Drosophila melanogaster: one gene and its partners. The protein of the gene in region 1 purifies or fractionates together with the protein of each later gene. This does not show direct contact. Each region holds a gene or a part of one and is shown in the gene's direction. Other genes may lie near its edges.

Region 1 (7,580 bases):
TGGCGGTAGAAGGGCACCAGGGCGGGTCCCACCAAATCCGAGGACATGACCAGCTGTTGGATTATCTTCAATGTCGTGCACATTACCTCCAGGTTTCGTGTGCTCAATGCGTCTGCAAATGGGGGCGTATTTGGTTTTGGTTTTGTGCTCGCATTGGCAAGGTGCAAATTAGACCGAAAAACTTCGAGGCATTTGCGTGCCAGCCAATGCCCTGGTACTCACTCTTCAGCGGCAATATTAATTGCGGTATCACCGGGTGTATCTTCTCGCCCCCGGCCAAGAGGAGATCCGTGACCCCCTGGCGGGCATAGGTCTTGTAGGGATGTTTCGTCTCCGCCAGTCCGTCGAAGAAGAGCGGCAGATAGAGGCTGTAGTCCAGCTTTTCAATGTCCACCTAGGCGAGATACGGGAAGAGGTGACACCGTTGGCGGGTCAAAGGTGAATAGAGCCGCTCCAAGTTCGAAATTGGTTCGTGTACCGGCGGTGGCGCAAGTCTTGCAAGTGTACATTTGCACGCCATGCCGGTTAGGCGCCCTAGCTGATTTCCATTAAGATGCTCTTTGTTTGCTTACGTTGTCAGTGGAAAATTTTTAGAACACATCGAGAAATGGGCCTGTACCTGCCTATAGACTTTGCAGTGCTAAGTCTAGACTAATCTTTGTTCGAGAGTCTGCTTTGAGTATAGTTACCAGCTTAGCTTAGTTGATTTGAGCTAACAAAGGGTTATAATATAACCCACTATCTTAACCAGATTGTATTGCATATATGACTGAATGACTCAGAATAGGAATTTTACTTTGATTTTAAGAAGACAGCAACTTTATATTTAAGTCAAAGGCGACATCGCTGGCATCGCAGCTGCGTGAGCCTCACATATGGGTTTCCCCAACATCGACCTTCGACCCCGTGACGTAAATCAGGCAGTGTCACTCACATATCACTCTCCTGTCACGACGGCATTTCGGCCTAGATAAACAAACGCACCACCCAAATGACATACGCCGCATATGTGGACTCCACATCGAATATGGAGTGCCATCCAAGGTCTGTGACATTGAACCAGCCAAAGGGGTCACACACACACTCATGCGAGGTGGGTGGGAATTGGTTACACATAACTTTCCGATTGCAGCGGAGTTCCATGGGAAATTGACTGACAGTTGGACGGTGCGACGTTTTGAATGTCAGTAGTCGCATTCCGGACGGAATCGCTTGCCCGTCAGCCGTGGAGCTCTACTAACTCCGGAAATAGACAATGGCATATTATTTACTCGGTTTTTGCTTTCACCTGCAACACTTGAAATAATTGGACACGCAGGTGTACGAAACTCGAGCTAAATTCAAATATGGGCTTTGTCTATGGGTCACCGAGTGGTAAGGTTACCCCTTTCTAGTGACAGTCGTGCAATTTCATTTGATTTTTATTTGCATTGACTCACATTTGTATAGTTGAAGTTTAAGTTTGCCAACAGACATATGGAAAATTCTAGCTATGGTTACAAAAATAAATCATTACCCGAATGTAAGGGCTTAAAAAGAATTAAGTTTAAATGTATGACCTATCCAAATTTCGAACAATATAACTTAATACCATATATATAGTATAATTAATAAGTCAACTAACAACGAACCTAATGGAATTTAGCGCCCTACCAAATAATTCCCACCACTCACCGTCCATCCGATTTTGTCGCCCCCGCAGAGGTACTCCATCTTTATGGGCAGGTCGCCGCGGTCAAAGTACATTCGGAAGAGGGTTCCTCGTCCCGGATCATTAGCCCCACCGGTGGAGCAGCCATTAAGACCCATGCCCAAGTTGAAGGTGGACATGGACTTTTGTTGGCGCCTCAGAACTGAAAATCAGTACAAATGCAAATGTGGGCAGGGATGTCATTAGGGAAACAAATACCGATGGGCGAAACACCCAAATAAACAAACTAACGCACTTTTCGGATTGGGCACCCGACTCCTGGCACTGGCTGTCTTGGGGGCGGTTTCGTGGATGGGTCCGTCGATGACGACCGTGTTCTTTTGCTGCGACTGAATGGAGAAGGGTGGAACGTAGCGCGGACGCGACGAGACCGCCGCTCCATGGATGCCGCTAAGTGGACGCAGTTGCGCCGGATTGGCGGACTTGGAGCGCGTCGGCCTGTGGTAGTCGTGCGTGGGACGCCTTGCCGTCGCGGTGCGTGCCGTTTGGGCCATGGCCATTTCCGGTTGATGCGACGATGTGCAGCCACGTAGTGTAAACAGCGAACTGCCGAGCGAAGGAATTTCTGTAGCCAGGCTGGCACTCCTGGTGTTGGCGTTGCTTTTGCTGTTGCTGTTGGGTGTCGTGTCGTTTCTATGGAGCACGTTGCTAAGGCCTGGGGCGGCTTAGTGACCGATAAGCCAGCAGTTGGAGCTAAAGCCGCTTGCTCGCATTCGCTGCGGTGCTCTCTTCCAGTCGCATTTGTTACAATAACAAGCCGGTTAGCCTTATAGGCGCCAGTTATGTTGTTATTATCATTCGACTATGCACTAACCAAAGTCCCCGGACTGCATGTAGATTTCCCAAGCACTTTTATTGGGCATTTCAGGTCAGCGAACTCATCGGAATGAAGGGGATCTGGGTTTTCTGGGGGCGCAACCGCAGATTAACAACGACAAATTGGCACAGCTCATGTCAATCATGCCAACATTTTATTCTATTTGATGAACAACAACAATCGATCCATAAAAGCAATTTAATTTTATATACAGAAGTAATAAATATTAAAACGTATTCAAAGTGAAACAAATTACCTAAACAACTTAATATTATAAATATTATATGTTAATCAGAATTTACTAAATCTTTTTAATCAAAGTACAAAGTAAATCGTCATAAATCTAATCAATAGCCATGAGAAAAACATAGAAATGCCATCATCAAGCAAAGATTTCAAAAAAGAGGTAAGCATGCGTGAGTTGTAAATTTAATTTTAACCTTATAATTCTGAGCCAATAAATTAAGTTTTAAAAAGCGCGCCAAGAGAACTTATCGATAAATGGCTAATTCTGCTATGCAGCACTGGTGCTTTGTTTACATTCTGCGGTGTTCGGCGTTTGTCTGGCAACGCCGCACCTGTTCTGTGCGGGTGGCGTGTTGCAAAGTGCCGAGGGCACTGAGAACTACTAGTGTTGGCTAGCGATCGAGTGCGAATAAAGAACAAAAGTGTGATATGTCGCTGTGAATAGCCAATTATCTGTGTTTTCTCGTGCTAAATCAGAAAATTTTTCGCAATGTCTGAGCCAGAGGTGACCAGCGTTGTAGATATGAAATCGCCCAACATATCCTCCTCCTGCTCCTTCTTCAAGCTGAAGAAGCTGTCGGAGGAGTCGCTTCTGCAGCCGCCGGAAAAGGTCTTCGACATTATGTACAAGCTGGGCGAGGGCAGCTATGGATCAGTCTACAAGGCAGTGCACAAGGAAAGCAGCTCCATTGTGGCCATCAAGCTGGTGCCGGTGGAGTCCGACCTGCACGAGATTATTAAGGAGATATCCATTATGCAACAATGCGACTCGCCGTATGTGGTGCGCTATTACGGCTCCTACTTCAAGCAGTATGACCTGTGGATCTGCATGGAGTACTGTGGCGCCGGCAGCGTCTCCGACATTATGCGTCTGCGCAAAAAGACGCTGACGGAGGACGAGATAGCCACTATTCTGTCGGACACTCTGCAGGGCTTGGTCTATCTGCATCTGCGTCGCAAGATCCATCGCGACATCAAGGCGGCCAACATCCTGCTCAATACCGAAGGCTATGCTAAGTTGGCCGATTTCGGAGTCGCTGGTCAGCTCACGGACACAATGGCCAAGAGAAACACTGTGATCGGAACGCCCTTCTGGATGGCCCCCGAGGTGATTGAGGAGATTGGCTACGACTGTGTGGCAGACATATGGTCATTGGGCATCACCGCCTTGGAAATGGCCGAGGGAAAGCCCCCATACGGTGAGATCCATCCCATGCGAGCCATCTTTATGATTCCGCAGAAGCCACCACCATCGTTCCGGGAACCGGATCGCTGGAGCACAGAGTTCATTGACTTCGTGAGCAAGTGCCTGGTAAAGGAGCCAGACGACCGGGCAACGGCCACTGAACTGCTGGAGCACGAGTTCATACGCAACGCCAAGCACCGATCGATCCTAAAGCCTATGCTTGAGGAGACCTGTGCCATTCGCGAGCAGCAACGCGCCAATCGCAGTTTTGGGGGCGTGTTGGCTGCTAGTCAGGCGAAGAGCTTGGCAACCCAGGAAAACGGAATGCAACAACACATCACGGACAACGCGTTTATGGAGGATCCAGGTACTCTGGTGCCGGAGAAGTTCGGTGAATACCAACAGAGCTCAGCCTCAGATGCCACCATGATAGCGCATGCAGAGCAAGGTGTGGATGAGGGCACTTTGGGGCCGGGTGGACTAAGGAACCTGTCCAAGGCAGCTGCTCCTGCAGCGGCCTCTTCGGCAGCATCTCCTCTGGACATGCCGGCAGTTGACAGCGGCACAATGGTGGAGCTGGAGTCGAACTTGGGTATGTAAATGATTTTGAAAGGGCTGGCCATTTGTTATTGTATTGTCTGTTATTCAGGCACTATGGTAATCAACTCCGATTCGGACGACTCCACAACGGCCAAAAACAACGACGACCAGAAGCCGCGAAACCGCTACAGGCCGCAGTTCCTGGAGCACTTCGATCGCAAAAATGCGGGAGATGGCCGTGGCGATGAAAAACCCATAGCCACAGAGTATTCTCCGGCAGCAGCGGAGCAGCAACAACAACAACAACAGCAGCAGCAACAACAACAGCAGGATGAACAGCATCTGGCAAGCGGGGCCAACGATTTGAACAACTGGGAGCACAACATGGAAATGCAGTTCCAGCAGATCTCCGCCATTAATCAGTATGGTCTGCAGCAGCACCAGCAGCAGCAGCAAGTTCTGATGGCTTATCCCCTGATGAACGAACAACTCATCGCGCTCAACAATCAACCGAATCTGCTGCTCAGCAACGCTGCGCCAATGGGACAGCAGGGAATACCGGCAGCGGCTCCAGCTCAACCGCCGCCCGCATATCAGAATCAGCATATGCATACGCAATCGCACGCCTATGTTGAGGGTGAGTTTGAGTTCCTCAAGTTCCTTACCTTCGACGATCTGAACCAGCGGCTGTGCAACATCGATCACGAAATGGAGCTGGAGATCGAACAGCTAAACAAGAAATACAATGCCAAGCGGCAGCCAATTGTTGACGCCATGAATGCAAAGCGCAAACGCCAGCAGAACATCAATAATAATCTGATTAAGATATAGGTAAAGCAACTCACAATTTCGCAAGACAACTGATTATGAAATCTCAACTCACTCAATTGCCTCTACATTGGGTTAAGTTTGCAGATGAATACTGAATCTTACAGACCCATCATCTGTATCCTCTAGAAATTATTCGTGCATTGTGCAAATTTAACCTGGTGGAAGGGTCTAAAATCAATCACAAGAAATGAAAACACAAAAGCTTTATTGTAAAATGCAGTGAAAACAGAAAAGAGGAGTCATCGGCAGTATCTTCCAGCACGAAAGCATATTTTCTGTTAGATTTCATCAAATTTATGCTTGGTTTCTTATATCCTAGCTTTCATTGATCTGTCTTTTAATATAAATAGGTATGCTCGAATAAAATTTATCTTGCGTTTATTGTAGCTGCCCGTATTGTGAACTGCCCAGGCCTTATCATAATTTAATAAGACTTATAATATTCGTTCTTCCTTGGTAACTATTAACCTTTATCTCTAAAACACTTATTTTCTGTCTTCGTGCGATAAAAACAGTAACCCGTCAAGCAATACTTATAAAGGAGAAACATTTTTATACGCATTGGAATGCATATTTTTCGAACATATATTTATCAAAGCAAAATGCACAGAAACACTCACATTTAAACATTTATATATACCTAGTACTTTTAGCAATTATAAATAATTTACATAATAAATATATAGGAATATATGAATCAAAAAATTGCATACAATATATAACTTATTCGAAAGATACTTAAGAAAATTTTGTAATAAGTAATGATATATGTAGACCAAGGAAACCTCCTTTTTATTTTAGTATGACTACTCTTGTATATCCATTTCCTGAGTTGCCTGCTGCATGTCGTGCAATTGTGCCCGCAAATCTTCGGGCAAAGTGTGCTCGTTCAAGGCACTAGGGTCTTCACCATCCACGACAATCTCCTCTGGATCTGGGGCTCGTGGCAAAAAGTCGGCATCTGGGAACATTTTGCCAAATATGTCGCGAGCATTGGCAATGGCCGCGTCATAATCCAGCTCGTAGGTAGGTGGATCGGTGTAGTAAATATGCTCGGCAGCGGGACTTTTACTAGACTGGGCAGCAATTGTGAAGTATGAGCTAAATATTATTTGTGCGTCTGATTGATCGAAGAGTTGGCTAGTGAAAATGGCTAGATCAGACGCTGGATCCTCGCTCAACGCTGGCGTGGTCAGATGGAAGATATCTGTAAAAATTAATTCATTAAAAAGGAATAATTCACATATTTTCTTAAGTTTCTTACATAAACCCTCGGGACAGGCTCCCGTGTAGTGCGACAGTTGTATTAGGAAGGCTTCCCGTCCACCTTCATTGTCAAGTAGTCGAAGAAGATTTACACCACCACCTCCCTTGTTCAGCTCCTCATTGCCCAGGGGACTGGACGATATGAACAAGCCACGTGAGATGTGCGGCTTCAACTCGATGCCCTTTGAAACTGGTGTATAGCCAGGGGCAGAGACCACATTCTTGGCACGCAAAGTTTTCCCTGCGCTGCTCAGCAGGAACTCATTCGAATTGGAATCTAAGGCAATGTCGTCAACGGCTCGCTTTAGGCAGTAAATGCCACCATAAACAGCGCACAAACGGCAGAAGCACTGCGGCAATTCCCCGCAGCCATACATGGGAAAGAGAAAGGGTGTGTTGCCATAGCGGCCCAGACTGCCCAGAAATCGTTGTGTGCGCTGCATACCCTCCTCGAAGCTGGTGCTGGGGCCGCACATGGCAATGGCCTGCATCACGCACGACGATATCTTTTCGGTCACCCGCTGCGCCTGCAAATATTCCAGAAACGTTCGTCCCCGGAATTCCAACGAGTCCTCGTTGCACTTGTCCTCGCCGTAATCGTTGCAGGCGGTGAGAAATTTCATCAGCAAGCGCTTTTCCACGATGGTCAGTGTTTTGGTGTTGAAGACATCGCTACGGGAGCAGGGCACGGACACAATTTCACCATTGTGGCGCATGCACACATGGTCCACGGCTCGGAATTCAGCATAGCGGCAGATGTTCGACTTGATGAGCAACTGCACCAGCTCCCCGGCTGCGTATAAAATGCGCGGGCATAGATCCAAGCTGAAGCGTCGCGACTTGGCCAGCACTGAGTCCCTATTCCAGGATTGTGCATCTGTTTCTGATTCTTTTTCCATGGAATGCCAGGTGTACCTTGCGTTTCGCAATGCAGAATGAGGCTCGACTTCCTGGTCCAAGCGGGCACATAGAGCATCCATAGA
Region 2 (7,576 bases), 4.6 Mb from region 1:
TTATCAGGTAATATGAATAGTATGAAGTAATTCATGTCGGCAAGGCGGTTGAAACTTATCGATGCCTGTAGGTATGTTCATATGCGTCGGGTCTAAACTCCATGTACACAGAGATAATGGCTATCTGCCAAGGCGTACACATGGGAACTCTTTGATAAGTTTGGACGAATGGAAACCAATAAAGCCATTGGACAATTTATCGGCGGTTACCGGGCTGCTAGCCAAAGTCTGAAGCCCAAAAGTCGAGTTTCTCTTACTGGGATAAAATGATCGAACCGATATGTTAGAGCGTCAGGATTTAGTATGTTTAGGTACAAGTACGGGTTACAAAATGTGCGATTTCGGGTGTTACATGCATGCATTTTAACTTAAATGAAACCAGTTTGTGTGACGAATTTAAGATAAAATTTCTTTCTCACCAAAGAGTAGGTACAATCGGTCGATAATATAGCCACATCCAAGGGAGAGGTGTGGTTGGCTACACAGAACCCAGAGACTGTGGGCTTATATTGCTTATTGTGGAACTTGATAAAGGAGGACATAGAACTTGAAATAAGGCGGAACGTAATTTTGAATGACAAGCTCGCTAGAGAAAGCCGTACAAATCGAAAAGGTAAACAAGCCACAATGGAGCTTGATAAAACTGCAAATAAAACCTAGGAATTAAATAGTTTTTATTAGAGAAGTAAATTAAAAAACGCGCACAACACAAATAAATGGTGGTAAATTATGGGTAAATTAAAAAATTTTCAACGAAAACTTTGTTAATCACAAGTTCGCGGTACTGCGACGTATCTGTATTAACTTCCAGTAAACGTTAGTGCAAGCAATTTCGATAACAAACGCGCATTTGGGGGTCGGGTCGTCCGATACTCTACTAAACTTATTTCTCTAAAGAGATCAAAAGGTAGCTAGCTCTAAGCTGAAATGTAATCGATTGAGGAAAACGCTTTTTATCTACTAATGGGTAAAGTTTAACCAGTTATTGTCCGTTGAGTCACTTTCCTTTCACACTGTAAGATAACTACTCGACAGCCCAATCCCTATGCATGATGCTGTTCTCCAGTCTAAAGCGGAATACATTACTTAAGCGTATCCTTTGGGATAATTTGTAGCATGCATGGGAATCGGGACGATCGGGTAGTTGTGGAAAAGCCACTAAATGAACCGAATGTACTCACACCAACGAAGCATACCAATACCCGGAGGGGCATCAGGATGACGTAGCGGATGAAGAAGCCGAACACCCAGATGGAGGTGATTTTCCAGGAAATGAACTCGTAGTGCCTATTGGTGCGTGTCAGCATGTTCCAGCTCTTGAGCTCCTCCGCCTCGAAGCGCGACGTAACATCGTCCTCGATGATGGCCTCCACGCCAGACTTTACGTAGTCCAGGCATTTCTCAAAATCGAAATTGATTTCATCCTGCAAATGGGAAATGTTGTTTAAATCAGGTGCCCATTGCAATGCCGGACTCCTTACCTTTGTGGAGGAAACTGGCTTCTCTGGAGCGGGCTCCTGTGGCTGGGGCAGGAGTACCGCGTCCCTGGTAATCAATGTGGCTCCATTGGTGCCTTCTTTGGAATCGGCGTCGTCCACTAGTTGCACTCCCTGTTTGTCGTCAGTCTTGGGATTTTGAATGTGTTGGTTTTCTTTGGATGCTGTCTCTATACTAACTCGACCATACTGAAAGTAGAGGTGATTAGTTGTTAACGAGTCGAATCGGGGATTATCTGCAGATAAGATTATCGCAAGCATATCGTCGGACGAGGTAATGACTGGCACTTTACAAGTGTCTGGGAAGCGGCAACTTGGGTGCACTGGCGCACTCCTGCCCCGCAGATTCCTTGAGGATAGCCGAAGAATCTACTTAAAGCTTCCGGGCAAGCAATAGTTTCTCGAACTCGCCTGCATTGCAGTAATTGCGTAGGGCAGACGTAGTATGGCGTACTCCAAAAGCTGACTATATTTATGGACTTTGGAATAGCTTAACTATTGGTAAGACAGCACCATTTGCAAAGCCACCGCAGCAGTGGAGCACCTCAAATCGGTGCTTACTCATCTGAGGAACGAAAGCAAGCAATATTTACCTCGAATATCCTTAGGAGGAGGTTCACGTACGCTTTTCGGACGCCGATTGATTTGTTTATGGCGGAAATAAATATGAGAAATGAGAGGAAGCCCCCGATGGGGATCCAGAATATGTCCAACAGCACGGCGATCATTTTACATTTGTGTCATGCGACATTAGTTATTGTTAAGCGAAAAATGCCTCCGAATTGTGTCGTGCCAATATATACAATGTTAAAATACTTTTTGCTGTAGACCGAACTAGCGATGGACCTTGACTGTGTCAAAAACCTGTCTCGTGCTCACAGACCTGGCCCGCGCTCATCTCTACGGGGAACAAACGGAAAGGGGACGATTCCGGTCGGGCAGGAGACGGAACGGCTTCTTGTTCCACTGCCAATCGTTTTGAAAAGGGTTGAATGAACGTGCACTGAAAACAAAAAGGCACATTTACATTCAGATTATATTGTTATTGGGTATGTGTTTTTGACAGACCTTTACCTGCACTTATTACTTAAATCAACAAGGCACATTTACAATCAGTTTATATTGTTATTGGGTGTGTTTTTGACAGACCTTTGCCTGTACTTATTTTCACTAAACAAAATGTTATAAACCAATAAATAATAATTGTTAGTCTAATAATTTATAGTCTGATATTATGGAACACAAGTGTGTGGGCTATACACACACCATAATTTAATATCTACTTTGTTTTGTGCCTTATTAATTACAAAATATAGAATAAATCTTTAGCTATAGCTAAAGGAAATCGACAAAAGTCGTAATCGGCTTGCGGAATACCCCTGGCATTCCGCAGGTGCAGCCACGAAGCCGATTACATGAGGAACGCTAGTATCGGAATGGACAAGTGGACGGGGATAGCCATCTGGCAACACTGGGATAAATTTATTTTATGTTGGCAGTTCCGTAATTATTATTATTACTATTATTTATTGCAACGAAGTTTAGTTTTTAACACCTTAATGTTATAGTTTCGCGCAGCGCGATGGAGTGATACGTATATGGAAGAACATATATGTGCGCGTGCCTAATCGCTAAGATAATTCTATGTAGTTTTCGTTTGTATACAATAAGTGCCTTTTATATGTTAACGACGATGTCAGCCAGCAGCAATACAAACAGCCTGATCGAGAAGGAGATCGACGACGAGGACATGCTTTCGCCGATCAAGTCCAACAACCTGGTGGTGCGGGTCAACCAGGACACGGACGACAACCTGCAGGCGCTATTCGACAGCGTCCTGAATCCGGGTGACGCCAAGCGCCCGCTGCAGCTGCCCCTGCGCATGCGGAAGCTGCCCAACTCCTTCTTCACGCCCCCGGCGCCCTCGCACTCGCGGGCCAACAGCGCCGACTCCACCTACGACGCGGGCTCCCAGTCGAGCATCAACATCGGGAACAAGGCGTCCATCGTCCAGCAGCCAGATGGCCAGTCGCCCATCGCCGCCATCCCCCAGCTCCAGATTCAGCCGTCTCCCCAGCACAGCCGCCTGGCGATACATCACTCCCGAGCCCGCAGCAGCCCCGCCTCGCTGCAGCAGAACTACAATGTGCGCGCCCGGAGCGACGCAGCAGCAGCCAACAATCCGAATGCCAATCCGAGCAGCCAACAGCAGCCCGCTGGGCCCACTTTCCCAGAGAACAGTGCCCAAGAGTTCCCCAGCGGCGCCCCGGCCAGCTCGGCCATTGATCTGGACGCCATGAACACCTGCATGTCGCAGGACATTCCCATGTCCATGCAGACAGTGCACAAGAAGCAGCGCTCCTACGACGTCATCAGCCCCATTCAGTTGAACCGCCAACTAGGCGCCTTGCCGCCGGGATGGGAGCAAGCCAAGACCAATGATGGCCAGATCTACTACTTGAAGTGAGTTTGGGCAGATTTTAAAAATGATATGCATGAAGCTTTATTTAATACGTGTCTTCTTTATGAACTTATGAAAACTAAAATATTCTTGTGAGTCACAGAAATCTCATTGGCTTCGTTGGATGTCTTTCAAGTTTATCTCTTAATCATTACTAGCTCAACTAATACCCAAAACAGCAATCTCAACAATGGTGTTCTCTCTACTTGCAGTCATACTACAAAATCTACGCAGTGGGAGGATCCCAGAATCCAATATCGCCAGCAGCAGCAAATCTTGATGGCCGAGCGAATAAAGCAGAATGGTAGGTTCTATCTTAGATGTAATGCCTTAGATAAGCAAGTCGTTAACTGCCTGTGGCTGCGTCTCATTGTTAACCCACTTAAATCAGCCATCAGAGGACTAATTAATGCTAGAGACCAGGCAGGGATAAGATAGGCTCTAACTCATTCCAACTAACGCATGAACAGCACAGTACACAACCGATTTCAGGGAGTCCATTCCGTCCATTTTGAGCGCGCCAATGCACTTTTCGGGATTGGGTTGGAGTCTGATCATTTTGGCATTCGGAAGTGGGAGCTCGATTGGATTTGCTTTGAGCATACTCCAATTGATTTTGATATGTGCTGCATGCTGGGCGCCAGTGCCCCTCCGTTCTCATCCGCTTACACACTGCAGCATTACGTTGAAGACATATTTTAATTTGTTTTTATTTACTTTGGTTTGTAATTCATTGTTTTTGTTCGATAGATGTTTTGCAAACTACAAAACAAACTACCACATCGACCATTGCTAACAATTTGGGTCCACTGCCGGATGGTTGGGAGCAGGCAGTTACCGAGTCCGGAGATCTTTACTTTATAAATCACATTGATCGAACGACTTCATGGAATGATCCCAGAATGCGTAAGTCTCGTTCCACCACCCCGACTAGCGTAAGACAACGAGACACACAGATATCGTAGCGATATCGCTAGATAACATTGAGTGCGCAGTGGGCGGGGGGCCGATCACGTAATTCCCATGGCATCTCTGCTTTCACTATATAGTATAGTACTGATCTTGAGATAGAGGCCGAACACTCCACACTCCTTATCGCTCCATGCCTCGCCTTTACTAACTTAACGCCTTCCCTTACCGTGTATCTTTGCAGAATCTGGGCTTAGCGTGCTCGACTGCCCAGATAACTTAGTGTCTTCCCTCCAGGTAAGCATTCGCAGTTGCCGACCGCCGAGTTGGCGAACCGAGTTCCACGCCACTACCTCACTTTGCCCACTTTACGCTTTCAGATTGAGGATAATCTTTGCAGTAACTTGTTCAATGACGCACAGGCCATTGTAAATCCGCCGTCTTCCCACAAACCTGACGATTTGGAATGGTATAAAATTAATTAATTCAATGTATACATCTGTATTAGACCTAAAAGTTTTATATTTTGTATTATTCTAAATTAAATATTTTTCAAATTTTATAGTATTTCTTTACATAAACGAATTTGTGTGTTTATCATTATTACTGGGCGCCTTGTTTCTGGGTTTTAAAGCTTCCGACGATCAGTGAACGCACTGATTGAAAAGAAGATATCTGATTCAGATGACTTTCGAACGCCGAAGAGAGAGTTCAGGTGGATGAAAGGTGTGGTCAGCAGCGATGACTCATGCCGAAACCCGAATACCCCGACTATTGTAAAGTGCAAGCCAAGTAACCAAGTAACCAGAATGCGGCGTGCATTTGGACCAGAATGCACGCGATTCATGAGCTTCATTGAGTTCGATCTGTGACCGACCCAGCAGATTCAGCTTTACGTGGAGCCAAAGACATCCATGCTCATCGGTGTCATTCGCTTGCGAATCTGTTCGCGTTCGCTCTTTATCAATGCTTACCCATGAGTCACTTTTGCAAATATTCTTCTAATTTAGCATGAATTACTTATTTTCGTGATGTCAAGCTAGTCATCGTTTGAATTCTTTCAACAGCTTTCATAGATGATAAGAGTTGGACTTGGGTTTTTCACCACAGCTTTGTTTCAAGGAAATGAAAAATAAAAATTCGCCAAGTTTTCGTTATCTATTAAATATTAGTAATTTTATTTTTAACTATAATAATCTTACAATTTTACAAAATTTCTATAAAAGCGTACAACAACAGTAATTTTTTTTTTGCCGATTCTCTTGCGTCAAATTCATCTCTCGAACGATGGTGGCGAATACTTCGTTTACGTTTATCCGATCCTTTGCAGATGCCTCGATAAATGGACAGTCCCACAGTTGTGCCAAGGCATTACCTGTGAGGACGAGGAAAACAGTGGCGTAAATAAGAGCAGTCTCGTCTGGGGAGGGATATGGATGATGCCTACCTTCAGCGGTGGATACCTCTCTTTGGCAATCTAAATCGAATTTGTTCGCGACTAGTAGGATGGGTGCTGGCTGACTTCCTTTCACTCGAGTGATCACATTTTTCATACTAGAAATATCCTGTGGAGCAAAGCGAGACCATTAATTGGCATTAGTTGGAGTACTCAAGAGCAAGTTTGGGTTAAAAAGTACAAAGCAAACACGATGATGAACGCACAGGAGGGACTTGTGGCTTTCATACCTGAAATGTTTGATGGTTCGTAAGTGAATACATTACAATAAAACCATGACCATTTTTAATGTAGAGATCTCTCATGGATGCGAATTGCTCTGTGCCCGCGGTGTCCAATATTTCCAAGACGCACGGCGAGCTGTCCACCTGCAAAAGAGGGTAAATTGCATTAGTAAATTGTCTTGGGGCGTTGAACCCGCAGAAGCTGGCCCCATCTACGTACGTGGGCAAACGTACGTTCTACGACGTTCTCTTGGCTCGGTAGGGATTAATTGAAATAGTTATTTGCTCTTCAGACAAAGCTGCGGTATTAGGGGTTGTGCAAGTGCTGCCCACAAAATGGGGTGGTACACACGATGGCGGGCATGTGCGAATGCGGAAGAAACGCCTGCTCTTTGTCTTTCGACATCATTAGATATATTTTATTTGCCAAAGGCGGCACTTATGCGCCTGCAATGGGCTCGTTCCCGAGATCCAAGCAGTATCAGATATCCGATGGACTTGTAGCTGCGAGTGACTGCACTCGCATGTGTCACTCATTCGTTCTATGGCAAAAGGCTAACTCACGTCGCAGTAAATGTGAAGCATTTTGCTTTCAATTCGGCAGCACAATGCAGTTTTAATAGATAAACAGCATGGCGAGATACATACGGTTCCAGCTGATTGATTCACTCATCGAATCGGTTGCTTTGCAAGCCAAACTATGACAAACTATGAACTTTTGCGCAGGCTGCGATGCAAATGGCACTCTGCTCTGCGTAGAATGCACATTGTGGCTTGGGAACTAGTTTGGCTGGCTGCTCGAAACGAGAATTGCACTGCAAGGGAATGAAAATGCAGGTTTCGGAGTCGCTTAGCGTTATCAGTCCACTCCCTATTTAATAAACCCCCCGACTGCGGATGCGGACGCCTATGAATCATGTTTTCGGGCTGAAAACTGGCTTGGCCATTAATCCTTGCAGCAACACCCACGCCTATGCTCAAATATGCACATTTGGATGCACAGACGCCAGTGAATTTATGAATCTATATG
Region 3 (7,100 bases), on another chromosome or scaffold:
TACCATTGCTCGATTGGAGCTGGCCAGCACTAGCCTGGTGGACGCTCAGGAATCGGAATCACCCCTCCAATGGCGGGTGTCTGCTGGAAACTCTGTGCTCTGGTCCTGCGGACAACAGGTGCAATCGAATCCATCTGCCAGTTGGTCCTACTATCGAAACGGAGTGGAAATCAAACCGGAGTTCATCGGAACCAATGGAAATCTTTTTCTAAGCAATGTATCCTCCGAGTCGTCAGGCAGCTATTCCTGCCAGGCAACCAATCCTGCCTCTGGCGAGAGAATTCAGCTGCCCGGCTCGCTGCAACTACAGGTTACACCAGAGCAGAGGTCGGAGAGTAAATCTCCACACTTGCTCAGGGGACAGCCGAGCTCCCAAGAAATTACCATACGCGAAGGGAGTTCGCTGTTGCTGCTGTGTCCTGGAGTTGGCTCACCGCCACCGACGGTTGTCTGGAGCAGTCCCGATGTCGTGGGAGCTGTTAAGAACAAGCGTTCGAAAGTATTTGGACACGCTTTGGAGATATCCAACACCCGAGTTAATGATGCTGGCACCTATATTTGCTTTCAAGATAATGGAGTGCGGCCTGCGTTAGAACACTACATAAAAGTGCATGTCGAGCAGCCGCCTCAGATTGTGCGACCACCCTGGGCCGATCTTACCAACGAGGGCGATCGTTTGAAGTTGGAGTGTAAGGCCACAGGAGTGCCAACGCCAGAGATCTACTGGCTGCTGAACGGTCACAGCAGCATCGATGATTCTGAGGCTGAGCTCTCCAATAATTTCCTGATATTGCACAGCGTCTTGAAGCGTCATGCGGGCTATGTCCAATGCTTTGCACGAAACAGACTTGGTGAGCACAGTGCGGGTACACTGCTGCAGGTGAATCCCAAGCAGATTCAGGAACCCCGGGAATCGGGGGGTACACACAGGCCCAAGCCCAATCAGGGTTCCAGGCAGAAGCAGATGTATCCACCGACTCCTCCAAATGTAACCCGACTTAGCGATGAATCCGTAATGTTGCGCTGGATGGTGCCCCGAAACGATGGGTTACCAATTGTCATTTTTAAGGTTCAGTACCGCATGGTTGGCAAGCGCAAGAACTGGCAGACAACCAACGATAATATACCGTATGGAAAACCGAAGTGGAACTCCGAGCTGGGCAAGAGCTTCACGGCTTCGGTGACGGACCTGAAGCCTCAGCACACCTATCGTTTCCGCATCCTAGCCGTTTACTCCAACAATGACAATAAGGAAAGTAATACCTCGGCGAAATTTTACCTGCAGCCAGGTGCAGCACTTGATCCGATGCCGGTGCCAGAGCTTCTGGAGATCGAGGAATACTCTGAAACCGCTGTGGTGCTGCACTGGAGTCTAGCCAGCGATGCGGATGAACACCTGATCACTGGCTACTACGCCTACTATCGACCCTCGTCCTCGGCAGGGGAATATTTCAAGGCAACCATTGAAGGAGCCCATGCTAGAAGCTTTAAAATAGCACCCCTCGAGACGGCCACCATGTACGAGTTCAAGTTGCAGTCCTTCAGTGCCGCCTCTGCATCCGAATTTAGTGCCCTTAAGCAGGGGCGCACCCAACGTCCCAAAACCAGCACCACAGAGGAGCCAACACTGCAAATGGGCGACCGCGATACAACAACTCCCAGTCATAACGAGACATTCAATATGAGTCCCATGCTGACGGGAACAATCGGCGGCGGGGCAGTGCTCATTCTGCTTCTGATTAGCACCTGTTTCTGTGTTTGCCGGCGTAGGAATTCCAGAAGCCGGGGAAACAATCCAAACAAGCCACGGATGGCGGAGCTGAGAGATGACTTTGTGCCGCTGGGCAACTGCTCGCCCACCAAGCAGCGCCAGCGAACACGACACATCCACATAACCTTGAATCCACTCGCCCAGCAGCAGCAGCAGGCGCTGGAGGAGAAGAATGACACAGACCAGGATGCGCCCTATTATCAGCGGCCGTCGAGCTATGACTACGATCCCACGCTGCGCAGGATGTCCTCCTCCTCGCTGCGTCGCTCACAACGCACGCTGGAACGTGCTGGCGGCAGCAATGGCTCCAACAACGGCAACAACAACAATCTAAATCAATCCGCAGAGGCGGGTTCCATCGAAAATCCCGGCAAGCCGGGTCGTGTACTCATGAAACGCCCCCGTCTGTCCAGTCGCTCCGAGAACCTCTCCTCCGGCAGCCTCAACAGCGTTGGCGTGTAATCGCAATCTCGTGATCTTTAGTCTGTGCATCCCTACGCCCGATGTACCATGCTATTCCTCTACCTCTGTTTTATCTACCACTTTGAATGACAAAACCTTTGCTGTTTGTACTTAAATAGGTACTTAAATAGACATAACTAGATTTATGTATGCATGATCGTTTAAGAACATAGCATTATGTCCATTCTACGCTAAGTCTTCCATTTTTCGCGATAAGATCAAAATCTGTACTGATAGCTTCTTAATGACCTATACAAAAATGACAATAAAGCTTGTAGCTTCACCTTTTAACCTTAAAAGAGTTTTTTAACATAAACATAAAGGATTTAGCCAAAAAAATGACATCTCAAGCTAAAAGTTAAAAAACAAAATTATAATTTAAATCTTTGGTATATTTGCGGTATATCAAGTGTTGAAACAGTATTTTTTCGCATTCAATGAGTGGCGTTAGGGATTTGTGCAACATCCGATGGCGTTTGGGATTTAATAAGCTGTCAGCCAATAATTGGGTCGTCGTCAAAATTTCTATTAAAATCGTTTCTATTCCTACATATTTTGGCCGGAAAATCAAATGAAGCTGTTACGCTAGGGACGAAGCTGCACCTTACCCGCACCGAACGTAAGACACTGCTCGTAGGCCCCAGAAAGTGCACAAATTTAAGCGGTTCCCTTTGTTTTCGCAGTGCCAGCAGCAGAGGGCCTGGCCCCCGAAAACAATACAAATCCAAAAATCGCAACTGGACTGAATTGGGCAGGATGTCGAACCTATCCGTGGGCCAGATTATAATGGATGCGCAGCGCATGGCCAGTCGGGTGAAGGACCTGGACGCCCTGGGCACGGCGCTGCTCGAGGAGGCGGAGAACAACAATCGGCTGGTGGAGAGCCTTCGCCAGTATCAGGACGACATTGAATCACTCAACCGCATTTCGAACAACAAGACCAACGCGGACATGGTGAATCGCATTCAGCAGCAAAACATCAACAGCTCGGAGATACTCAAAGAGAATCGCGAGCTAAAGATCTTCATTGAGGACTACGAGCGTGCCATGGAGCTGATGATGCAAAAGTATCGCGAGCACACCGTCTCCAAGGTCCTGGATAGCAAGTTTAGCTTTAAGGAGCTGTACAACGAACGCATGTGGCAGGTGATCCGGGAGCAGCGCGAGAAGATCAACGAAATGGCAGCAGTGATGCAGCTAGCTGCAAGTGTAGATGACGGTGTCGTGCAGCGAGAGCTGCAGACCATATCCCAGCTGCGTCTGGAGAACGAAACGCTGCGCGAGCTGCTGCAAATCTCCAAGCAGTACGGCTCCTCGCAGCGACCGATTCGTGAGAGCGACCACCTGCTGGAGGAGAAGGCTGTGCAAACGGACAGTACGGCGGACGACTCCGCCGACGATCTGTCCATATCGGGCGCCTCGGTGGAAAACATGAACAACAACTCGGTTATCCAGATGTACAGCAGTCCGGAGCAACCGGCTAAAGTCGCCGGCACCACGAACTCATTTAACACTGCACCAGTGCATAGTCAAAGTGAAACACAAGCACCAAGTGTGACATTGGAGACGGCGCCGCCGGGGGAAGAGCCGCTGGCGAATGATAACAATAACGGACCTGCAGTCAACACAACCAGTGCACCGCCGCCAGCGACGACGTCTAACGAATCTGTCGAGGATCAGGCGACAGTAGCGCCCGCAACATGATAGGTGCTGCTGTGCAACGTTGTTGATTCGTTTGGTCTTCATTTGAATCGTATTTACTCACCCACTCACAAAACAGGCCGCGCACGAAGAGGGCCCACATAACCTGCATTAGCTCTTAGCGATTGATAATCTCTAAGTAATTTATACATAATACGAATTTCAACATATTGTCCATACGCATTGAGAACAATGAAGTTTATTATTTAAAACGAGGTAAACACACTCACACCCACACAAATGTAATGTACAATGTACCCTGTCGATTTTATGGTTTGCTAAATAAATTCCAATACAAATCGGGGAATAACCAAAGGAATGAGCATATTTAATTTAACATACAAATGTATTTCAGTAGTGTATTTAAATAAGATGTAACTTTGCTTTAGATTGCTACTCCGTAAGCTAACTAATTCTTAAGTTATTTCCCAAAAGATGTTACGAGTAGAATCCCATCTATTATGCGCCCCTCCCATGAATTTGAATATTTTTGTTAGAAGGCTTTTTAAATTTGGCCATTCTAAATCCCAGCCAAACAGAGAAGCGGTTAAATAATTCATTGGATATGACTCATTGCTTATCGAGTAAGGCTGATCAGAACTTGATATACACACATACTTGTGTGGAGTTTAAATATGAATAAAGTATAGCCACTAAAATTAACATTTGCCACAATGGTTATCAATGGTTATCGAGCAGAAGATTTATGATATAGTCATGTTAATTTTCAAAAAGTCAACTTATTACACAATGAACCAAGTTGAACAGAATCTGCCATGAGAAAAAAAAACAGCAGTAATAACTATAATTTTAGAAGCTTAAGATTCCAAAGGCAAAATATTGGGGTTTAAAAAATTTTAAATAATTTCATTATTGTATTGTTTAAGTTTAATTTGGTTATTAATCAATATGGAAAATTAGGAAAACCAATTTTTTGAATAGATATTATTGAAGTAATTATTATTATTATTAGTTACAGTGTTTTTTTTCTTTAATTCTATCAAATACATTTTTGTAATTTTGATAAATATGGAACCTGAAGTGTAAAAGTAATATTATATGGATACCCGTAAAGATTTATGGCTGAAACTTTCAATTGGCTTGGACTTGAATATTTTTGAATAATTTTCGAATCGCTCTCATCGATTCTCTGCGCCAAAATATCGGTTCTCTTGAGGAAAACACTTTTCTCGCACGACTGGTAGGTAGTTGAAGCTTTCAGAAATAATTTAAATTTAGTTTCTCGTCGATTTTCAACGCGTTCGCAGCCGAAAAAAAAGTGCCAAGGAACTGCGCCCGGTTCGCATGGCAGCCATCTATATAAGTATTTCGAGTGCTCGGGCAATCGACGGTTATATTAAAGCTATATAAATATATAGGCACATACGTGCTTGGCCTTTGTACATGAATGTGAATCGGGTGAAAAATTGAAAACTGCCTGGATCGCATGGTTGATATAAAGATATATCCCTCTAATAATAAGCTATTGATCCAAATCTAACGATATTTCCGGAGAGTCTTGCATTTGAAAATCGTCTGGGTAGATTTATGGGAAGTGCGCTGCCATTTAGCAAGAAGAAAACTATGCTATTTATAAAACACAGCCAATTTCTGTGGCCGTAAATGTTTTGTATAAAGTGAATATTCCAAAATTAAATCAACCAAGCAGCAACCGAGTGTTTGTGTGTGTGTGATCGAAAGTGAACGAAAGGCTTTGGGGATTCCAATCCCTGTAAGAATCTACATATGTACACCAATGCTCCAAACTGCTGTATAATCCGTGTCGAAACGCACTGAATCCCGACGGTTACGCAACCATCAACATCCACATCCACTTCCACATCCAAGAGGCTGGCCCCATTCCCCGTCGTCCAGCCGCAAATTATTCTAAATGCGGAAGTATTTCGTGTAAGTCCACTGCGTTCTAAATTAAGTCACACATTTTGCAAGTGCCAGCGCCGACGAAAAACAGAGCGCCTTAGATGAAAATAGGTTAAAACGCTGGTAATTATTTATAAACGCACTAGGGATTTGCAATCATCGCAGCAGCAGAGCGCACAGAGAAAGGAGTGGTGAAAGCTCCGCGCTTTCTCTTCGCCTTTCTCTTCGCATCGCGCTCTTTCGTTTGAGTTTCGCCATTTTCGCCAAAAGAACAAAAAACATGCGCAAGCGGCGGAAAATCGCCTGCGCAACTAGCTTCCACCTGTGCCAGCTTATCTCGCTCTCTTTCTACTCATAGATCGCTCTAAAAATACTCAAATAGATGGATACATATTTGTTATTGTTTATATTTACCATTTCCATTCGATTGTTTATGCCTGACTGAAGTGACAGATATGAAGGATGATTTGAAATTGAATTAGAAAAGTCAAAGTTTAAGGATGTGAAGCTTTTGTTGTTAGGAGTTTTTTCTTCAATCATAGTACTAGTAACTAGTAAGTTACTTATCATTTTTTAAGTATTCTTAGCAATGGTTACATTTAAATCCAGATTTTAAACATTTTTATAATTATAGTTAAAGTTAATATTTGTATATGTGTATCAATGCGAATATAAGAATGCATATTATCACCTCTTTTTAAAAATAGAATAAATTCCAAGATATACATACATATGTATGTTAAATCGACTTGCTGATTTCCTTTTTTTAGTAAGTTAATTTTTAAATCAGTTTCATTTTTTGTTTCTCAGAGTTAATATATCTGTCTTCCAATGAGGGATAGTTAATTAATCGAAGGCATTGATCTACATCTGCACTTCCAACTCACGTTGACAATAGCCATCAAACCAGGCAGCTATTCAATTTAGAACCAATGGCCAAGTGAATGATAACGAAATGTAAATGTTTAAGTATTTGATGAACGTGTACAAAATTCTTTTGTCGATTTGGCTTAGTGCCAGAAATTCCACAGACTTGCGCAGTCAATTGGGTATTGGGATCGTGCGAAAAGTACATAGAAATAGCAAATGTAAATTTAAAAGATTTTAAACAAAAAGAAAAAAATAAATAAATAAAACCAGTAGTGAGATGTTACGCATACCGTGTTAATTATAAAATAAAGCGTTGGCTTGAGAGGACTTCACACTTCAACTCTTGCAGAAAAAGAAAAGCTGATAAGTTGTACGAGAACAGATGCATCATCTGTACCCATCGCTGAAAGGCGAC
Region 4 (10,452 bases), on another chromosome or scaffold:
CATGTACGACTGGCGTGGAATCGCCATACCGCTTTCATTCGATCACAAGCCGCAGCAAGTGCGAGAACGAAAGAGAATCCACGATGCAGGCGGATTCATCGCCTTCCGAGGCGTTTGGCGTGTGGCCGGGGTGTTGGCCACGTCACGTGCTCTAGGGGACTATCCGCTTAAAGATAAGGTGGGAAAAATGGGATGGTTCCAACGAGTTACTAACGAGGCTAATCTTGACACTATTTTTAACCACACGCTTACAGAATCTGGTGATTGCTACGCCGGACATTTTGACCTTCGAACTAAACGATCACAAGTGAGTGAACAACACTTTGCAACAACAATCCAAACGACCATTTGATAGTTGTAAAGTGCATTACATTAGACCTGTATTTAATGAAATACTTTCTTATAGACCCCATTTTCTGATACTGGCATCCGATGGGCTGTGGGACACGTTCAGCAATGAGGAGGCCTGCACTTTTGCGTTGGAGCATCTGAAAGAGCCGGACTTTGGCGCCAAATCACTTGCCATGGAGTCGTATAAACGTGGCTCCGTGGACAACATCACCGTGCTGGTGATCGTCTTCAAGAACGATGTCTACAAGATTGGCAGCTCAGCGGGAAAAGCGGGAGAAGAATCCCTAAAAGTCCCAGCCAAATCTCAACCAGTTGCGCCTGCAGTTGTGCAACGCTCGAATTCAATCAAAACCAAATGAAAAACGATAGATAAGAGTGCCTGCTAAGAAATGCTCTTCAGCTTTTCTCCTAAAAATTTCCTTCTCCCCAAGAAAAACAAACGAAAGTGCCCGAATTTTTCTAGTTAGGCATTTTGCTAAATACCTTTTGACCTTTTTGTTACTTGTCCAAAGGCAGCGTTCATTCATCCCATTACAGACATGCATACACATTCATCACTCGAAAATGCGTTCATCATTTGTCTTAATATTAAGGTTGTTTGTTAGTCAATGTTGTTTTGTTTAAACAAAATATGTTTGCATCCGCCGCCACATTGCCGTGCACTCCGTTTTTCCAATTCGCACACGAAAATCATCACAGTCACTGACTCAGTCAGGGTAACATCATCACGTAACTATTTATTTAATTTATTTGTTATACGTGTAAAAGAAAACATTTTCTAAATGTCGAAATGTTTTTACGAATAAAACAATGCATACGAAACGAGAACATTTCGTTTTGCTACTTAAATTCAATTTCTAATTGTTTTTCTCAACATTATTCGTTTTGGATTTCAATGAAATGATCTGGTTTGTAGTTTAGGGATTAAAAACATCCACTTTCGATTAAAGTTTATATAAAATGTTTTCTTTATTAACATTTACTTATCTTCTGCCTAAACTAAATTGTCCCACTGTTTATACTATTCCCATCTATCCGGAGAAAACTCTATAGCCCAAAGCCTAAAGTTAAAACTAATTCAGCCGCTACAAGATACACAAATTTCAGTTAAGGACGCTTAAATTTTATTTTTGTTTTAGCTAAACAAATTTGACGCCCGTTACAAAGGTCAGTAGCTTAGTGAGCCGAAACAGACACCTGCCAGACGCGGATGGTGTTGTCGGAGTAGCCGGCGAACAGAGTCTGGCCGTCGGTGGACCAGGCCAGGGACAGGCACTGGGGCTGATCGGCCTTCGACGTGGGCGAAACGACCTCGGGGCGCAGCTCCTCAACGGTCTTCTTGCATGCCAGATCCCAGATCTTGATCGAGGGTCCGTAGGCCACGCACAGCCAGTAGCGGTTGGGCGAGAAGCACAGGGCGTTGATGATGTCGTTGTGCTCCAGAGTGTACAGGTTCTTGCCGTCATTGAGGTCCCACAGCAGGGCCTTGGAGTCCTTGCCACCTGAGGTGCACAGGGAGCCATCGGGCGAGACGGTCACCGTGTTCAGGTAGCCGTTGTGGCCGTGGTGGTTGTTCTTCAACTTGCAGTTAGCCAAGTTCCAGACCTTGACGGTGCGATCCCAGCCGCAGGACACGATGATCGGGTTGGAGTGGTTGGGCGAGAAGCGCACGCACGACACCCAGTCGGTGTGGCCATCCTCCTGGATGGTGAACTTGCACTCAGCCAGGGTGTTCCACAGCTTGATGGTCTTGTCCCGAGAGCCGGACACGATCTGACGGTTATCGGCCGAGAAGGCAACCGACAAAACGTCCTAGAAAGCGAACAAGCATTTGACGATTAGCTAATGGTATTGGTATGGTTTTCATAAAAATAATATATTTACTGGATATTTCACTGACCAACTGAATGGGCATAGTCCCAACTCAATTAGTCAGTGAACGGAATCCAGATGGGTTTCTTGCAACTAATTAGGAATCAATGGGTATCAGAGATTGTTTGCCTACTTACGATGGAGCTTCAAGCAATTTATAGCCGAGACTCGAGCGAAGGGTGAAGCGTACGTCGTACAGATGTCAACCAGTAATTCTGCCTCGCATAGGCGCAATATATATTTTTTCGATTTGTACGCGGCAAAGGCGGGCCTAACCTCACTCCTAACCTTACATTTAGCCTTTTGCCGGTACAGATCGGTTCAAAATCTCAGTTCCCTAAACGAACTAAATGCAATTGGAATCTTATCCCACCTTAGTGTGTCCCTCGAAGCGACGGGTGGTCTTGCCGGCGGCCAAATCCCACAGGCGAAGGGTCTGATCCCAGGATCCGGACAGGGCGTAGTTGCCATCGGAGGAGAGCACCACGTCGCTGATGAAGTGCGAGTGTCCGTAGAGACGCTTCTGGGGGTAGCCGTAGTTGGTGTCCTCGTCGCGGGTCAGCTTCCACACGATCAGGGTCTTGTCTGCGAATCGAGATGGTGGCCATTAATATACGCACGTGCTACCAGATAAATCCGAAGAATTTCAATGGCGATTACTTACCACGGGAGGCCGAAATTATGGTGTCGGGATCCTTGGGGTTGGTGGCGATCTGGGTGACCCATCCATTGTGGCCAATGAGGGTACCGCGCAATTGCAGGGTCTCGGACATCTTGAGTTTATATTATTTGCTACGGAGCGCGAAGGAAACACGTCCAAAGGCGCTGCAAGCTGGCAGAAAAAGAGGCAGTTCCGGTTCCAGTGCTCGCTAAGATGCCAACTGTCAGCGAGCGTTCAGTGTTGGACAGGACAAAACTATCGATAGTTTGAATTTTCTGTTACAAATAATACGTGTAAAATGTAACGTCAAATAATAATATCAAAAACTTTAAAATATATATAAAAAAAATAAATACTTTTACACCAAGTATTAATATTATTATATCTAAAGAACCCCAGAAATATTGAAGTTTAGTTTTAAAACAAATTGTGCTATTATTTAAGAAATAATCGACGCTAATGCACATCTATGAAAAGACTACTAAAGGATTTTAAAACAATCCCAATATCTTGTTGCCCAAATGCCTATGTACATACTTTTATTTTGTCACTATCACGTAATAATGTAAAAAAAACGGTGAGCGTTGATCCCACTTTATTTTCTAGTTTTACTTGGTAACTGTTGGCCAAATAGTAAGGATACCATCCACAAGTTTTAGTCGGTATTTTTGTAGAAATGTCAAGCATGCATCGCTAATCGATACACACACACACAGCGCGTTCTTAAGCGTTTCGCGGCAATCGGTCACACCGAGGGCAGTCTTTCCCTTCGTATATCGTGTCGTCGTCTCTTTTGTGAACAAAAAATACGAAGAAAATCGCCCAAATCGAGTTGATTCGATTGGCAATTGTGTGGAGATAAACGAGTGAATACGCGGTTGGCAATCGAACGCAACAGTAGTTGCTAATTTTCCTGCACCCCTGAGTTATAATAAAAGCCGTCAAAATTGAATCGACAAAGATTGACGAGACTTTTTCTTCCACCACAACTGCGATGGAGGATAAAGCAACAACAAAAGATCTTGATCAATGGATTGAGCAGTTGAACGAATGCAATCAGTTGACAGAGACACAAGTTCGCACCCTCTGCGACAAGGTAAGGCCCGGTCCTTGCCCATTTTCCCCATGCGAATTAGGAGATGTTATAAAAATAATTTTCGTCATTGCATGCGAGCGAGCGATTTTTTTTTGCAAATGGTGCTCCAACGCTGCGTGTCTCTGGCCCTCTCGCTCTTTCCAATGGGGAGAGGCGCTGAGCGGAGAGCGCGAGAGCATGATTCATGTCGTGCCCTCTTGCTCGCACAGTAGCGGCGGCTTGCGTCGCCATATTGGAATATTGGTAAATTCCAACAGCCAAGCGCCGCATTGCCGCGCACAAGTGCGAGCGGGACAACGGGACGGGCAAGTGCGTGCGTGAATGCGACAGCTAGAACAGCGCTTTGGTCTAATGGGCTAAACCTGGGCAAAAAGAGATATTTCTTTTTGTATTATTGTACAATTTGATTGTTTAACTAAAGTGCATTGTGCGTGTTTAATGTTGTTGTTATTGTGTCCACCGGAAACTGAGCACCCCCGCTCCGTGCAACCTCATGCGCGTTTTGTCGTTGCTGAGTAAATATTACTTAATGTTTTTGTGCGTCGGTGTGTGCGCGCCCCTAGAATATGTATCTATGTACCGTCGTATCTCAATTCTAGAATAATGCACTTGCATTGGTGTTTGTGTTCCTTTTTTTATGACCAACCATGTTCAATTAAACACTTTTGATATCAATTGTTTTTAATTTGCCGATTTTACCGTTCATCAGGCGCGTCGCGCACACAAACAAACAGACAAGCAAAAAGAGTGCAAGAGAGGGAGAGAAAAAGAGAGGGTGAACAGATAACGATTCATTGATTTAGGAGTAAGTGGGGTTATGTTTGCGTCACCCAAATATTTGTCAGTGTTCCCATTAGAATCTTGAATCTCCGTTCTCCCTCCGAGAAGAACGTTCTTCGCTCTTCTCGGGTGCGTCTTCTGCGGCCTCTCTCCATCCTTCCCGTTGCTACGAAAAGAAAAGCGGAGAGTACGCGGAGAGAGCACAAGCTGCATCAGTGTTTGTGCATGCATCTGTATGGGTGCGCTGGCCTCGTCATGAGTTCAAAAATTATTTTTCTTTTTTTTTTTTTTTCGATTTCTGGCCAAGCGGAAGCAACAGCCTCCAAGGTAATGCTGTGCATATGGCAAAAAATCTAATTGGCTCACGCACAAATCGCTCATTTGCGCCGCCGGATTCTACCCCCGGAACTTGTTGTCATGTCCCATTTCGTCAGCTGATAAATATAAGAATTCGCAAAGAACACGGCGGAATGGTCAAAATAAATGTGCAATTTTTGTTTGCTCATTTTGGCACATTTATGTTTGTAAAAACCGGTTTTTTTGATGCTGTATATTGACGCCCATCGGGAATTTTTGAATCGACCTTCATATTTTATTTTACTAAAGACGATAGAATACTTTCCAGAATCGTGAATTTGTTATGTTTATACGGACAACTTTTTATCGTACGTTCATCTTATCTCAACTTATTAAAAAGCTTTGCTTCCTTTGTTTTGATTTTCATACAGCTTATATTAGCAACTTAAACTTGTTTGCAACTGACGCAAAATTCGATGAGAAAATAGTTGAGGTTCTTCGCTTGTTGACCAAATCTTGACGGATAACCTTGGCCTTTGACAAGGTTTTATCATCCGCACATGCGGATCACTTTCGGTTTTCTCAGTACTTTCTGTTTCGCAGATATTCTGTCATGTCATTCACCATTCACCGAATTATGGCAGGTGAAAAAATAGAACATCAAAGTTTCCATATTACTTTCATTTGGTTAACTATTTACACACAAACGTAACAAAAATGTTTTGTAATTTCCGGAAATTTTGCTACATGTTTATGTTTTTCTTATAGGAAGTAGCAATGTTTAGGTACACAGTTTTATAGGGTTTTGCGGGAAGCTATTTTCAGAATTACCCAAGAGATTGAGTTTTGATGCCATTAAAATTTCTTGTGGGATGTTTAAAGAGAACAAGTGATATTTATTTCCCTCGATTCTCTGTAAAAAAACGCATGCACTTATCCAATATATTTGTTTTAATTTCTCTTCTAGTTACAAGCTATTTTTAGAGTACACTTTGAGTGTTGGCGTTGAGTCATTAAGTATAGTGAATAATGTACAAAGTACTAATCGTTTTATTTATCTTTTCTGACCCTGGAAACGATTTGGGCTAGATTATGTTAATCAGTATTTTAATATTGGTATTCAAAGTTGTTTATTCGGTTATTCGAATAGGGAGGTAACATTAAAACGTATCTCCCTAAAAATATCCATAAATAAATTGCTGATTGGTCTACTGTTTCCATTTCTTTACAGGCCAAGGAGATTCTCTCCAAGGAGTCCAATGTGCAGGAGGTAAAATGCCCGGTGACAGTGTGCGGAGATGTCCACGGTCAGTTTCACGACCTCATGGAGCTCTTCCGGATAGGCGGCAAGTCTCCGGACACCAACTACCTGTTCATGGGCGACTACGTGGACCGTGGATACTACTCCGTGGAGACCGTGACCCTTCTGGTGGCCCTGAAGGTTCGCTATCGCGAGCGCATCACCATCCTGCGCGGTAACCACGAGTCGCGCCAGATCACACAGGTGTACGGCTTCTACGACGAGTGCCTGCGCAAGTATGGCAATGCCAACGTTTGGAAGTACTTCACGGATCTGTTCGACTACTTGCCACTGACGGCACTCGTCGACGGGCAGATCTTCTGCCTGCACGGAGGCCTCAGTCCCTCGATCGACAGTCTGGATCACATTCGGGCCCTCGATCGCTTGCAGGAGGTTCCGCACGAGGGTCCCATGTGCGATCTGCTCTGGTCCGATCCCGATGACAGGGGTGGCTGGGGAATCTCGCCTCGTGGCGCCGGTTACACCTTTGGCCAGGTGAGTGTTGTCTGCATGTTGGCTATTTCTCAATAAAATTCGGAGCTGATTTGCCTAGCTTGGATACTTGGAAATTTATTCTTTAATCACATTGTAAAATTGTTAAGTGAAATACATCTGAAGACCCGATTAAAACTAAGCTGAACAAAAATTGTCTGCTCAAAAGCATGCAAATATATTCTAGATAAATTTTTTATTGATCTTAATAGGAAATTTTATCGGGGCATGCACTTGATGAAAATCAATAATCAGTAATCGAAGTCTACTGCTGATATAGGCCCAACTGATAACGCAATCAATGGAAAGAGCTTTCGTTATAAATTGTTTTGACATTTCAAACCGTCAACTACAAAACAAATTTTAACTATCCAAATCGAATTTCATTGAGAAAGAGCCAATTACTTCTATAAGCATTTTTACTAATATTTCCATTTTATTTGAAGGATATTTCGGAAACCTTTAACAACACAAACGGCCTGACACTGGTGTCGCGCGCCCATCAGCTGGTGATGGAGGGCTACAACTGGTGTCACGATCGCAATGTGGTCACAATATTCTCAGCGCCAAACTATTGCTACCGCTGTGGCAACCAAGCGGCTCTTATGGAACTGGATGATTCACTTAAATTTTCATTGTGAGTGGCAATTCGCTTGAGCTGCCTTTAAATGCGGCATGTCTGACTAATCTAATCGTTTGCATTTATTTTAGCCTACAATTTGATCCAGCACCCAGGCGCGGGGAGCCTCATGTTACGCGAAGAACACCCGATTATTTCCTTTAAGCTGGATTGCTCGCACCTACGCAGCTTACATTTACACATATTACATCGCATTATAACAACAAGAAGAACCGAAACAATATATAATATATACAAATCCAACCAGCAGCAACAAAATAAACAAAATGGCAAGTGCTGTCGAAAAAAAAACTACCATAAAAAACAACCCAAAACTAAAAACCTCGATGCATTTGTTTTGTGGAGGTCGTTTTAAACAGAGAGCAGTGGAAGAGATATTGTATAAACAAAGAAAAAAAAAGTAACCATAACAGTCGAGAACACAAAAATGCATTGAACAGTTATTGTTGTTGGCCACAGTTTAAAAGAAAAGGAAAAAACCGGAAATGTCGCCAGCGGGGGCGGCAGGCAGAAAATTTATATCAAAGATAAAGGGGAGGAGCAGAAGGAGAAGCAGTATACAGAAATGATACAATCCAATCGAACCTACCAACCAACCCAGAAACCAAGCAACAAAACCGCAAGCAACAAGAAGAACTACAACTACTTAGCTAAATTTGTTAATTTATAAAAATAACGAACTAAGCGTCGCAGCAGAAAGCCAGGGAGCAGGAGTGATGGATGGATGGACTCATGGATTATGACGTGATGTGTGTGTGGGCGGAAGGGGCTGACAAAGGACTAAACGGGACGAAAGGACGAACGCCAGGACGTAGCAGCATAAGCAAGCAGCAGCGGTAGCAGCAGCAGAAGCAGAAGCAGACGACCCACGACCGACAAAGCAGGAAGATAACGATGAAGCAGCAGCAAAAAAGTAGGAGCAGTATGTGGCAGGAGCAGCAGCGAACGCCATTGCGATGGGGGAAGCGCGGGGCGGGCCAGCGATTTATATAAAAACAAAAATTATAAAAAAGAAAATAAGGAAATACAACAAATTTAATATTACTGATTAAAATTAAATAAAAAAAAGCGAATAAAACTATTAAAAAACAAACAAAAAAGCAAAGAAAAATGATTAAAAAAAATTCATTATCAATTAAGTTCATATGTAACTTTAATAATAATAAAAGAAAGAAAAAAAAAACAAACAAACAATTCCCACCTGCCGACGAAGAGAGCCATCGAAGAGCGCGCGTTCAAGGGAGAAAGTCCTTTAAGAGAGACCCATGCGAACGATTTTGGTTTTTCGTTCTGGCAATGACGCTCCCTTTTGGCCTGCGGGCTCCTTTGGTAGTGTGTATGCGAACATGGCCAAGTTAACACGAGGCCACCACGACGAGCGGAAGTCGAGCCTCAAACGGGCCACCTAATTGAGACCACAAAGGAGGCGATATGGGTGTGGGGGAGGTGATATATGGATGGATGGCAGAGGGCAGATAGAAGGGACGGAGGTCGTGGTGCCAGCCAACCAATGATGCCCAAGTCAAAATCTAAATCAGAGCCGGGCTGCCTTTGATTCCCAGCGAAAGCGAAAGCAAAAATCTTGCCAACTTTGTATAAATTTTTGCATATTTTAGCAGCCGCCCACACGAACTGTCAAAAGTCATGTACAGTGGTCGCTCTCTATTGTTTCTGTTTACAAAGTATTTTGGAAACTATTTCGATTGGATTTGATGTTCCTGATAATTTAGTTGGTTATTTAACTTTAGCATACGAATGAAAAGTATATTAAGAGCAAGAAAGTAAACGATATATAAATAATAAACATTTGGCAATAGTAGAAACCCTAGAATATATGGATTATTCTGAGATAAGCAGTTCGTGCACCGCCAGTTGGCACTGTATCCACATGAGTTTTGGTCTGGATGAAAATCTAAATTTGAGAACATGCTGGATCGAGGATGGGGACTCTCAAGTGCCCAAGAACTTGGCGAGCAAACAACCATACCCATACGTACACCTACCGAGACTTGTCATCTATCATGCCCCAACAAACCCGAAACCAGAACAGGAGCTCCACAGGATGCTGGGGGGAGGTAATTGTCGCCCTGGCTGCTGTGGAGAGGCCATGGAGTTGGGGCTGGATTTTCAGTTGTAAAAGAGGGGAGCGTGGAGGGGGGGGGGTTCAGTTGGAGGCCCTGGAGCAGATTGTATTTGTCGTGCAGGCAGCGACGTCGACGACGACTGCGGCGTATGCGACATGGAAAATCCATTATCACGAAGTGAATTTTTACTGAAAAATTTACATACCCTCTCCAGTAACCCAACGCACCGCACCGCACCCCCCGCAGTCTCATATAAATGTGGAAATAAATCCTGAGTGCGTGTTCAAGGAGGCGCAAGGGGGCGTGGCGGGTGAGGATGCTCGGCATGAATATAACCCACAGAAATACAACTCTATTTGATGGCCTGTTATTAAGTAAAGGAATGCCACAGAAAAGTTGCCCAGCAAGATGAATCCTAGGTAGATTTTGTATTTAATTAAAGGCATAAATTCAAAACGATGAAAGATACTCGTTTTGGGTTGGCCCCTTAAAACACTTGGCAAATATTTGGTATCATAATAACTTAATATTGGAAATATAATATTTAAATTGAATAGTAAGGTAGCATTGCATACTATATCAGGTACAAAGATTTCGAGAAATCCACTGATTTTATAGCAGCAGTAATCCGCAGATTTGTTAAGTGTATTCTGACTCTTGCTCACAGATGATGGTCGAAAATGTTCGGATCATAAAACAAAAGTAAGTGAATCGGTATGATGGATACGGTTAAGGTTACGGTCGGAATGGAATGGGGGGGAATGTGGGGTATGCTGCCACTGAAGGTAGCCTAAATATTAAAAATTTAAATGAACTGCTCCGTTTTTACGATTTTGTCCTTAGTTTACGACTGATTTTTCCGAGGGACAGAAAGAGAGG

Evidence for each region.
Region 2: the proteins of hpo (region 1) and yki purify together in Drosophila melanogaster (affinity purification with western blotting; 2 studies listed by BioGRID, with this or other methods). This does not show direct contact.
Region 3: the proteins of hpo (region 1) and Fgop2 purify together in Drosophila melanogaster (affinity purification with western blotting; 2 studies listed by BioGRID, with this or other methods). This does not show direct contact.
Region 4: the proteins of hpo (region 1) and mts purify together in Drosophila melanogaster (affinity purification with western blotting; 3 studies listed by BioGRID, with this or other methods). This does not show direct contact.

The regions. Positions count from the first base shown.
Region 1 is NT_033778.4:19,492,433-19,500,012, reverse strand, and holds hpo (hippo), read left to right. Parts: upstream 1-3,156; 5' UTR 3,157-3,264; coding exon 3,265-4,552; intron 4,553-4,609; coding exon 4,610-5,331; 3' UTR 5,332-6,017; downstream 6,018-7,580. Other genes in the region: CG15120 (uncharacterized protein), read right to left, coding at 1-112, 223-394, 1,675-1,853, 1,947-2,211; Rep (Rab escort protein), read right to left, coding at 6,138-6,538, 6,596-7,580. UniProt on the Drosophila melanogaster protein: Plays a key role in the Hippo/SWH (Sav/Wts/Hpo) signaling pathway, a signaling pathway that plays a pivotal role in organ size control and tumor suppression by restricting proliferation and promoting apoptosis.
Region 2 is NT_033778.4:24,063,848-24,071,423, reverse strand, and holds yki (yorkie), read left to right. Parts: upstream 1-2,938; 5' UTR 2,939-3,108; coding exon 3,109-3,959; intron 3,960-4,169; coding exon 4,170-4,261; intron 4,262-4,707; coding exon 4,708-4,863; intron 4,864-5,110; coding exon 5,111-5,163; intron 5,164-5,246; coding exon 5,247-5,351; 3' UTR 5,352-5,449; downstream 5,450-7,576. Other genes in the region: Gpat4 (Glycerol-3-phosphate acyltransferase 4), read right to left, coding at 420-656, 1,182-1,424, 1,482-1,685, 2,090-2,224; Rap2l (Ras-associated protein 2-like), read right to left, coding at 6,084-6,241, 6,314-6,431, 6,553-6,690. UniProt on the Drosophila melanogaster protein: Transcriptional coactivator which is the critical downstream regulatory target in the Hippo/SWH (Sav/Wts/Hpo) signaling pathway that plays a pivotal role in organ size control and tumor suppression by restricting proliferation and promoting apoptosis.
Region 3 is NT_033779.5:6,940,886-6,947,985, reverse strand, and holds Fgop2 (fibroblast growth factor receptor 1 oncogene partner 2), read left to right. Parts: upstream 1-2,696; 5' UTR 2,697-2,852; intron 2,853-2,916; 5' UTR 2,917-2,989; coding exon 2,990-3,937; 3' UTR 3,938-4,808; downstream 4,809-7,100. Other genes in the region: ihog (interference hedgehog), read left to right, coding at 1-2,233; CG18304 (uncharacterized protein), read left to right, coding at 7,068-7,100.
Region 4 is NT_033779.5:7,824,174-7,834,625, forward strand, and holds mts (microtubule star), read left to right. Parts: upstream 1-3,476; 5' UTR 3,477-3,878; coding exon 3,879-3,980; intron 3,981-6,288; coding exon 6,289-6,852; intron 6,853-7,295; coding exon 7,296-7,486; intron 7,487-7,560; coding exon 7,561-7,633; 3' UTR 7,634-9,403; downstream 9,404-10,452. Other genes in the region: CG7115 (uncharacterized protein), read left to right, coding at 1-178, 255-307, 407-710; Rack1 (receptor of activated protein kinase C 1), read right to left, coding at 1,528-2,163, 2,597-2,808, 2,888-2,996.